Nothobranchius furzeri: one gene and its partner. The protein of the gene in region 2 interacts with the protein of the main gene of each other region in a biochemical or structural test. Links are inferred from orthologs where the notes say so. Each region holds a gene or a part of one and is shown on either strand. Other genes may lie near its edges.

What was found. The genes of interacting proteins can lie anywhere in the genome.
Region 1: the proteins of npr2 (region 2) and nppc form a complex in vitro, tested with the Homo sapiens proteins (3 studies listed by BioGRID). The link is inferred for Nothobranchius furzeri from reciprocal best matches to the Homo sapiens genes NPR2 and NPPC.

What each region holds. Positions count from the first base shown.
Region 1 is NC_091748.1:62,957,096-62,962,560, forward strand, and holds the start of nppc (C-type natriuretic peptide), read right to left. Parts: upstream 3,273-5,465; 5' UTR 3,159-3,272; coding exon 3,066-3,158; intron 2,148-3,065; coding exon 1,875-2,147; 3' UTR 1,861-1,874; intron 934-1,860; 3' UTR 1-933.
Region 2 is NC_091746.1:73,579,370-73,584,684, reverse strand, and holds the start of npr2 (atrial natriuretic peptide receptor 2), read right to left. Parts: upstream 3,358-5,315; 5' UTR 3,224-3,357; coding exon 2,530-3,223; intron 1-2,529. UniProt on the Homo sapiens protein: Receptor for the C-type natriuretic peptide NPPC/CNP hormone. Has guanylate cyclase activity upon binding of its ligand. May play a role in the regulation of skeletal growth.

The DNA.
Region 1 (5,465 bases), on a different chromosome or scaffold from region 2:
TGACAAAGCTATGGGACTGTGATTGCTTTGCTGTGTGTATGAGCATCTTTGAGTTTTATACGTGTTTTTTTTCTAACTATTTCATTATTTTTGCAGGGTAGATCAAAAAATATCAAGCACTCCATTGATATTCCACCATCCAGTCATTGTGACTCCGATCCCACAAAGCCAGTGTGAAATGTTTAAAATGGAGCCATTCTAGTGAAAAATACACCCAGAAAATGTGTGTAAGTGCACATGGAGGTTCTTTTTATCAGTTTTTTTTACATTTACAATTATGAAAGACAAAAGAAAAAAATGTAACAAACAGAATCCATCTGATGTTTGCATTCATTTTCAAAATGTTACATAAATAAAAGTCATATTTATAAATATCTCTTTTTTATAAACATATAAATACTTTTAAACATAAATACATTTATGCAGGGGAAGATGAATTACTTGAATGTACAGCAGCAGCATTAATGTACAGCTTTTTGTGGTTAGTAGTTTTTACACCGTCATCCACAATGTAGCAGTATGCATCTATGTTTCTATCTGTAGACTGTTGTGTTTATGTTTATGTTTAGCTACCTGCATTTCCATCATAAATATATGGGGAGTTCCTTTTAAGAAAAAGATAAACGTCATTTTTGATCAAAATCATCAAAGTTATGACTGATATCACTGATGTCCGTAATGAAAACAAAATAATCTATTTTTGCAAATGAACTTGTCATGTACATACATACATATATATATATATATATATATAGTTTTCTTTCTTTGCAAGGACTTTGCAGCATTGTCATCTCAGTCTCTTAATGCTGGTTGTGGTCACTTCCGTACCAAAAATCTTGTCACTTGGATCTTTTTTCTCTTATTTATTTCTTTTCTGTTCTTTCAGGGGACGGCAAATTCGTCTTGCATCGTCCAAACCCATCGTCCAGAGATCTAGAAGAAAAACATAAAGGTTTAGACTGATTGTAAAAGGCACTCATCGTGTGAATTCTCATCCTTATTTAAGGAATTTCCAGTGTTTGCTCAGCGGTCTAATTACCGCTCTGATTTCTCACTTCACCATAATGCAAACTTTTGACCGATGAGGAACAGAGTCGCTTCCGTTAGTTACAAAAATCACACATCTGCATCATGGTTCCACAGTTCACCACGACCACAGAAAGGCCACAACCCTCAGGACTAATTGTGTGTCACCTATAGCGTCTGCATTACTTCACTGACCAACACAACCCCTTCCCTGTTTTGGGCCAAAACTCTTGGGTTGAGAAAATGGCTTTTCCAGAAAGATCCTGACCGCCGCAGGATGCTCTGTTTGCAGGAGACTGAATAAATTTCGGCTCCCTCCTCCTTGTCTCCTTTTCTTCCCAAAATGCGATGTATGAGGCCGTTTGGCACAACCGGGAGCAGTAATAAGAAATTGGACTTAAAGACTGCTCCCAGATCAGTTTGAGACGGGCTTTTCTATGAAGGGTTTCTACTTTTTGCTCATTGTGATTGCAGAAGTTTGACAAAGGTCAGTATGTGTGATCACTCAGATCCACTATGACATCTGATTTCTCCAACTCTTGAGTTTGATTGCTCAATAAGACTTAGTCATGATAATTGCTTCATCAGTGAGATGTGCCTCTGATATCTAAATTATACTTTAGTGTATCTTCTCCAGTGATAAGCATTAATGCTCTTTATTTTATAATTTTCTTTTTTTGCACATACTTCTTCTTTTCTGCAAATTTGACAAAAATCTTTTTTTTAAATGAGCATTCATTTTGGCTGAATTAATCTCTGCTGTGGCTCCTGTGTGTGATGTTACAGTGGCTCCATCTGGAGAAGCAGAAGGATGCGGATGTGATGTGAGCTCACCATCGCTGCGCTCTTTAGCATCCCATCCCGCTGAGGGTTCCTATCCGGTCCATCTTGTGTCCGAAGCAGCCACTCCGTGACGACGAGCCCGCCTTCTTGCTTCCCGACTTGTGCCTCCTAGTTGCGGGCTGGTCGTTAAGGAGACGAGCCCACATCCCTCTGGCCCGGGTGTCCATCCGTAAATCCCGCAGTAACCGCATCCTAGCGCGTACCGCGTCCACCCGCTTCTCCCTCTCCTCCGACTCCAGAAACTCCGCCAGCTCTTCACCCAACAAACTTCTAAGAGACTGGAAGATTAGAAGAAAATAGATAAACATTGGGTCCCTGGGGCAAAGAAGGCCGCGCAAAGGTATCGGTTTGGAATCGGATTCAGATCGCTCGGGTGCTTGTTTGAACAGAATTTCCTCAGAATGTGAGGTAGACCTCAACTTGGTGCAGAGCGCATTAGGCAGCAGGAGGAACGAAGAGCCCCGAGGGGTTCAGATGTGGTTCTAACCAGAAAAATAAGACAGCAAGAGACTCATAATAACACGCGTTTAGATTCAAACTTCAAAGAAATCCACAATGTTAAAACCCCGAAGGCTGATTTTTACCAAGTGACATTCCGCGTGGGCACCGTGCGCTCCGAGAACAATTACATGCTGGAAAACAGGTGCCTGCTCCTGGGTCCTCCACTCCAAAACGTGGCAATAACCCTTGCCTTCATAAAGCTCAACTCTAAGTGTAAAATTATGTATTGTATCTGTTTCATGGTTTCATCCGGTGTTGGTTCAGTTTTACGCACAAACCGGATCAGTTAATTAGGACTTGTTGCTGACATAATGCAAAAATAGTGTTCAACTCCATGTTTACAGGCTTGTGAGCTTTCTTATCATTAAACTGTGCTTACAAATGATTTAAACATTTTTATTTGCTTTTCTTTAGCGCTAATAATCTCAAACGAGTGAATGAAAGGTCACGAAAGGTTAAAACTGTCTCTGCGGGCTTTTAAACGAGGATAAAGGGAAACGAAGGAGATCTGAGTAGAAGGTTTAAGGCTTTTAATATGGAAATGAATCTTTTTCTGAACGTGTAAACGAAACTAAAAGGATGAAACGTGACGCGTAAAATAACAGACCCGAGCGCGTCAGGAAACAGCTGTTCTCCCCTGAAACTGCTTCCAACATCCGAGAGTGCAAATCCTCATGGGGATACAAGTGGCTTACCTTCTGCTGCGCTTGACTTAAAGGTTTTGCTCCCATCCTTTCTGAAAGCAAGGTGACCAAAAGTCCACAAGCCACCAAGTAGGACCAGTTCATGTTGACAAGTGTCGCCCTGTCTCCAGGTTTCCTCTGACGGCAGCTTCAGTCAGACTGAGTTTGTCCTTCCCTCAGAAAGCTCCTCAGCTGCACTTCTGACTCCCAGCATTAGACCTCAGCGCTTTATAGCCAGCCCACGGTGATGTCATGACTACCTAATTGGCCTCTTTCTGGCCAATACTTTGTTTTCTTTACCTGCCTCCGTTCGCGTCACACCAGGGATTAATTCAATGATACAAGCTCCGGTCATCTGGGATTTACAGGAAATGATATTGACTATCATCTATCAAATAATAATAATAATAATAATAATAATAATAATAATAATAATAATGATAATAATGATAATAATAATAACCAGACTTTTAACTTTCAGACCGGCTGAAACTGGAGGTGCTTTCAAAGATTGCAAGACAGAGTGACTTTAGCAACACAGACACAACTAAGGAGATGCCAGCTGTTGAGACCTTATTTATTTGCATCCTAAATATGATTTGCATAATTGGTAACCATGAAGTGGAAAAACTCAGAGTGCCACTACAGTAGATGAGTCAAGCTGATCTGCAGGCTTCTCACCAATCCCACCGTGATTCGTTTAGCAAAATGTAGACTTTGTTGGAATAAAAGAATGAAAAAAAAGAAAGAATTAAACCACCTTTAAGGCAAAAATGAATAAAAAATAATGCAGCACATTAAGAGTCCTGAGCAATGACATCGTCCTGTTGATCTGACCTCTCCTAAAAGTTAAGAGATGATTGTAAAACAGAACAGAAGTTCTTGACAACATTGTCACGTTAACACATCAAACATGATTTTGTGGACAAGATGAGCCCTTTTCTCACGTCCAGTAACTAGAAATCAAAGATGATGCTGATTAAGACTCATGACACTTCATAGAAACTATGACTATAGCGTTAATTATCCAGTCGGTCCAGTGGTGCACTGTAATGTCACGGTGCAAAGGTGATTTCCTGCTTCAGGCTCACAGGTGAAGAGTTTCTACAGATGTGGAAAGGGTTTGGGATATTTTGCTGCTACAACAAAGGGGAAAAGGTGATCATGGTGAGAAGAGGAAGAACCACGGAGCTTATTCTCTTTTATGCATCTTTTGTGCATCTGAGCTGTTAAAATGGCTCTTTTTATAAACAGTAATTAGGATGGTATTCATGTAGCTTTATGATACTGACAGGATCAAAACAAGATGATCCCACATGAGATTTAACAAAAAAGAAAAAAATATTGAAACATTTTGTTGCAACTAATTATAGAAGAAATTGGACATTTTGCAATGAAACTTTGAGAATAAAAATGAAGTAGTGATAAAATGACTTGCAGTGCATGTTTTTTTCTTTTTTTTTTGTTGCAGTGTGAAGTCATTCTGCTGTCTGAGTGTCCCCCTAGAGGACAGACAGCTAAACTCTGGGACAGCAAGGTCTGTTTTGGAACACACAGTGGCAGCAATCACTGTTCTGCAAAGGAAATGATTCCTTCATTGTCACCAAGTTTAGTAAATCAATGCCAGTGTGTGTGTGTGTGTGTGTCCCAATTATTCAATGCATCACTCAAAAGTATCCCCTCGTTGTAGGCAACCATTAATGACTAAATTTCATCCACCCATTTCTTCTTTCCCACCTGCTTCGTCCCGTTGAGGCTGGGATTCATCCCTGAAGAAAAAGCAGGGAACGCCGTGAACTCCTCGGTTCACCACAGCGGTAACACACGTCCCAAACACACTCCTGCAGCCAATTTAGATGTTGTAATGACTCTCACATGCATGTCTTTAGGCACAGGGAGAACATGCAAACTGCACACAGAAAGGACACAAGATTTAAACCAGGTACAGGAAATTAAAGAGTCAAAAATTATGAACGTATCAAGATATCTGTGAGAGTAAAAGCATCTTCAAGTCAAATCAACTTTTGTTTCATACATTTTTAAAAGTTTTTACCTCATAAAACGTCCTTTCTTAATGGCTTCATGTAAAAAATGTCATTCATGTAACTGTTTCCCTTCCATGTAATTTAATAAAATTGTTTGCATCAAAAAGTAAGAACACATTTTATTTGTGTGGAACTCTTGTGTCATTTGAATCTGCATAAACTGCATTAAATAATAATAAAAAAATCACAATGAGATGCGTTTTTTTTTCTCTAGTTTTATTTGGGATTGAAATTATTATTGAATTTAATCAAAACCTTTCTTGTTTTTTTCAATAAATAAAATTAAAATCTTTATGTTTGCTGATGCATTTTAACAAGTTAGAGAAAATAAATCATAAATAAAGTTTGGGTTGATTGTGTGCAAATT
Region 2 (5,315 bases):
AAGAGCAAGTCACCCCCTACCAGAGTATTACTCCACTCCCACTTCCTGTTTGAAAAATGCAACAAATGCTGTTGCCTAGCAGACCGAGAGGGCGGAGCCGCTAACAAATACACACACACGGGCTCACAACGCCATTTTGACATCATATGGTACCAGCTAACGTTCTAGGGTACCTCTTAGCCAATAGCGATGGCAGATTTAAATTCAAATGCAGTGCAGAGTTTTTACCTGACAATGGCACAACACTGACAGTTTTAGGCAGAAAATTAAAATTTTAACTGTCTGTGAAGGTTCTCAGTCATCCAGGTCATTGTAGTCTGATGAGCTTTGAAAGAAAAGCATCTGGACTTCTTTGAGTTGCTTGAAGACGTTTCACCTCTCATCCGAGAGGCTTCTTCAGTTCTAAGGTCAAATGGTGGAGAGTCCCAGATTTAAACCCCGTGGGAGTTTCCCCCCGAAGAGGGAACAAAAGACCCCCTGATGATCTTCTACATAAACACATTGAGGGTGGGTGTGGGTCCTATTCAGCCAGAGTTTCGGGTGAGCTCGAAACTCAAAATTTTAACTCAAATGCACTAAAGTGCAAAACTATTGACTACACTTGTCTGCAGCACGATTAGACACGCATTTATATAGTTTATCAGGGAAAATGAGTTGTTTTGGGGGTGACTTGCTCTTTAACAGTTTAAACGTTGTGCTCAAATAAAATAGTTTCAGTGTCCCAGTCGACATCTTTGTGTTGTAGCATTAAGCCTTGTTTAATTACACCAGTGGAAAGTCATGCATGCTCCTGGTAATTAAGCTCCTGCAGTCTGCAGCATGATCAGACACGCATTTATATAGTTTGTCAGAAAAAAAGTTGATTTGGGGGTGACTTGCTCTTTAATTTAAAAGAACATCCAGATATCGAGAGTTTAAATGTAAACGTGGTCTAATTCAGTCACCAATCTGCTTTCTGTCTACAAACAAGGAAAATCATCTGGAAGAATTTTCTAAGGTGGTATTTTTCATTTTCTTTGGATTCAAATCCTGACGGAAAACGGCCGGATCCATTTTTAGTTCAAGTCTGTTACAAACATGTAATAACCATCCAGCTGTTGGTATTTATGTGTTTATTCTGTGTTTTCAAAAAGGTATTTTAATGTTTAATAAAAAACTTTGCTTCCCTCACTGGGCCAATGTTTCCCAACCCTGGTCCTCAGGTTTTCCATGTCTCTGCTTCAGCACACCAGGATTACGTCGGCTCCTCAGGAGGACATCAAGTGCTGCAGATGCCCGTTAACCACTCATTCATTTAAGTCAGGTGTGGCAGCAGGGAAACAGTGGTGTTTAAAAAGGCAACACTGCACCAGGCAACGTTACCTTATCATTTAAGGTAAATTATGGGATGTTCTGAGACGTGTGAGGGTTGTAAAATCATGTAGACTTTTTAAAATTCAGACCAGATGAGTTTTTATGAGTGAAGAGTTGATTTTAGCGGGTTTTACTGCAGCTAAATTAATGAATTTTCCTCTGAATCCGTGTTTCTGTTCCCTGCAGCGTGGGCGCTTGTTTGCAAATTCGATCACCAGGAGGGAATTTCTGCTGCTGTGTGTAAATAACAGAAAATTCCAGACTTTATCTGGATGTTATGTCCTGAAAAAAAGATTTATAGAGAAAGTTGGTGCATCATTTGAGCCCGGCATTTTCTTTCTTTTTCCAGTGAGTTTAAAACTGGACAACATTCCTGTCTGTTGGGAATCAAGCCTTTGACAAACTCTGCTGCCATTCCTAACCAGGAAAAACAAACTTCACCAGAAAACTAAGATGTGTTTTGGGTGAATTTTGCACGAAAATTAGCTTCATCTGAACGTTTCCTGCCTTTTTCTGCCTGCAGGAATTCTGCTGGGATGAAGGAGAGCCGAGCGGAATGCCGAGGCAGGACAAGCCCGGACAAACCCATCAGCTCATATGACCTCCAGCTCTGTGCAGCAGCTGATTCCCCTCTCCGTGTTACAGTGGGTCAGGAGAACCGGAACGCTGCCGGGCCTGCTGTCTGGAAGCATGGAGACGTTGAGCTGCTTCCAGAGGTGATTCCCTCCAGATGTTTCCTCCATTCTGGGTTTCTGTGCTCACAAGTTATCTCTGGATATCAAAATCAGCCTCAGATTTAGGGGGAAAACCTAAGTTTTAAAGCTGATTTCATAAAAGTGCTGCAGAAACGAGCCTGTTTGAGACCATCTCTGCAGCTGTCTGCAACTTTTCCACAAATCAGCACAAATATTCCAGCTGAGGCCTTCTGGATCCTCCAGCTCCTTGTTTCTGAGTGAATGTTTGTGTTTTTAAACCATCAAGTAAAGAGTGCTTCAGCTTCAGGTGGTTTTATTAAGCTGAAACGTTTCATGGTGAGGAGGGATTTATTAAGTATCTATTATTTAGCTCAGATCCGTTTCTGCTGTTGTGATATTAAACCGGTGACGTCAACAGAAGCCCATCAGCAGCTGAACTTTGGGCTCTGAGGGTGAGAAAGTGGAGCTCTGCTGAACTTACTCCTCCCGTTCTCCTGCATGAACGCGATCAGCTCCTTGTAGTCGGTCTCGTCGGTGTACGGTCGGGCCTCGATCGTCACGTTCATCTCCCGGTCCAGGTTGAAGAAGATGCCCTCGGTCAGGAAGTAGTGCGGCCGGTCGTCCTGCCGCAGGTCGTAGAAGACCACCGCGGCCCGGGACGTCCAGTTGAAGTGCGTGTGCAGCGCGTTGGCAAAGTCCCCCATCTTGGTGGTGGTGGGCCCGCTGCGCACGATGGTCCGGTACTCCACCCGGTCGTCGAAGCCGTGCGCGGGGCCTCCTGCGGTGATCAGCGGCAACTTCCAGTGGGACGCGAAGCGCGCCACGGAGGCCAGCGGGTACACGCAACCCGGTCCGAAGAACACATCCGGGCGCACGTAGAGCTTCGCGTCCACTGCCAGCACCTGCGCCCGGCTCACCGCGCACGTGCGCGCGGCGGGGTCCTCCGTGCTGTAGTTCAGGATCCGGATGGTGCGGCCGAGCAGCAGCTTGTGTTTACCGGCCAGGTCTTCGTGCGCCATGAGGATGGCCGGGAAGACGCGCGGCAGAGCCCACGGGTACTTCTGGTGGTCGTCCGGTAACATCACGGCCACCGTGATGTTGCTCCTGCAGCCGCGGAGGAGGCAGCAGGACAGCGCTGCGAACAGGCAGCATCCGAGCGCGCTCCTGCATCCCATGTCTCTGGTCCTGGAGAGCGACGCACGGACACGGAGGGCGCACAGCGCGGAGAGGAGGCACTGCCGGCCACGGATCGGTCACTCCACACCAGAGGGGTCCTGCTGTTTGTTGCTAAAGTCAGCGAGAGTCGGTAAAGGCGTTATCCCGCTGTGCCGGTCTGCGCCATGCGTCCCGCTGCGTAAAATCCACCTTAGAGGGAGTTGTAGTTTCCACAGCGCGTTTCCCGGTGCAGCGCGGTCCTCCGGTGCCAGACTCCCTCAGAGTGATAACAAACGTCCGGGTGGCTGGGGCTTAAATCACAGCAGCCCCCCTCCCCCTACAAACGTCACACTGACACGAACGGGTTCTCCAGGTCCTGGACCAGAACCTCCGAGTTCCTGTCAGCTTCAGCGGAGCTACTAAATATATTTGACTGTTGTTGTTCTCTGATCAGCACGCCGAATTTAAATAATAACTCTGATGTTGTTTCCCAAAAATTATGAAGCAAATCTAAAAAAAATCTGACTTTTTTGCTTCTAAAATCAAGATTTAAAGCAAACCGAGTTAAAATTCAGCTTTTTCTTTTTACTGTGTGCGAATTTAAAAAGTCTATAGAAATAAAAGAGAAGTACAGGAACGAGTCTCCCCCTGCAGGCTGCCTCACGCTCTGCACCAAGAGTCTTTCTGATAAAAAAAAGGACAGAATAATAAAGATTTGTAATCAAAGCTTTTTCCTGTTTGCTTTGACTTTATGTTTAAAATGTTTAAAATGATAAAACATTATCTGTCTTTTTGTGGAATCGATCTGATTTGTTCTGGTTTATTTTGCTGTCTTCACTGTTTGGCTGATCAACTTTAAACCAAAGCTTTAACGCTTTCATCCGATTTTGTTGCCTGACTATATTTCCACCCGTTCATTCTTACCTAAAACCTCACTCCTTTTTGATTCCGTTTCACTTAACAGGCTCTAAAACAATGGAAATCTGCACCTATTTTATCTTTTCTCTGATAGGTTGCTAAATATTCATTGTTTATTTTTTTTACTTTGATCTAGAATCGTTTTTATTTTTCTAATCTCGTGTTTATTTTTTGTTTCTGTCCTGCTGTTTCACTGTTTTAGTTTAAAAGTTTTAAAATAACCAGTTTTAGGTGAAAATCGCAGTTAGAGTTGCTGTTGGAACGATTTTAGTCAAATCGCTCAAACTCCTGCTGAGGAGAATTATTACAGAAAAAATGTTACGGTTTGAGCTTCATAATATTATTTCTAAATAAACGTTTGGTTTAGTGTCATAAAGAGAGGTCTGGCGGAGGCGCACTGCACTGATAACGTTTTTAATGACATTTTCCTGGCTACCGCTGACGTCGTTAGGTCCGTTTTAGGGGGGCTTCAGCCCCCCTAAAATAATCACAAGCCCCCCTATCATTTTGGTTTATTTTATTTTTTTCAGTTAACTTTTTTTTATTTGTTCACATCTACATGCTGAACACAATCACGACACGTGCAGTTGGTACATGAGTTTTTTAGTCTGAAACAGAAATAATAATTAATGAATATAGAACTACACCGTCGCACACAGGAAGTATCAAGAAAGAACTTCCTCCACTTCCTTAAGCCCGCAGCTTTGTTGACAAGTCAGGGGGCGGGTCGATACAGAAAAACCTATATATCGATGAGCAAACCCTGCTCAGCGCTCATGTAAGTCACTCAACATCACATTAGGGTAAGACAGCAACAGCAGCACACCGTTAACATTTCAAGGTTATAGTTCAGACGAGAGTGGAAAATGCTACCGCACCGACATGCTAATGCTAACTCCGCTAGCATGTTTACATGCCGCAAACCATAATGAAAAGCTTTGATGTCAAGTAAAATGGTCGGAAAACTCCCCTGAAGTGACATGATTAACCAGCCAGCCAGTTCATTGAGTGACTTAGTGCCACCAACTTGAGCGTACAGTAATGAGTCTGCACAAACAGAACCTGTTCTGCGCTTGTGTGCAGGAGCTACAGCCCTCTGTGGGCTCAACTCTGTCTCTGCGATGCAAATCTCTCCCTGCTCTCCTCAACAAGTAGCCTCTCCAACAGTCAATCACAGACAGCTCTGTTTTATCC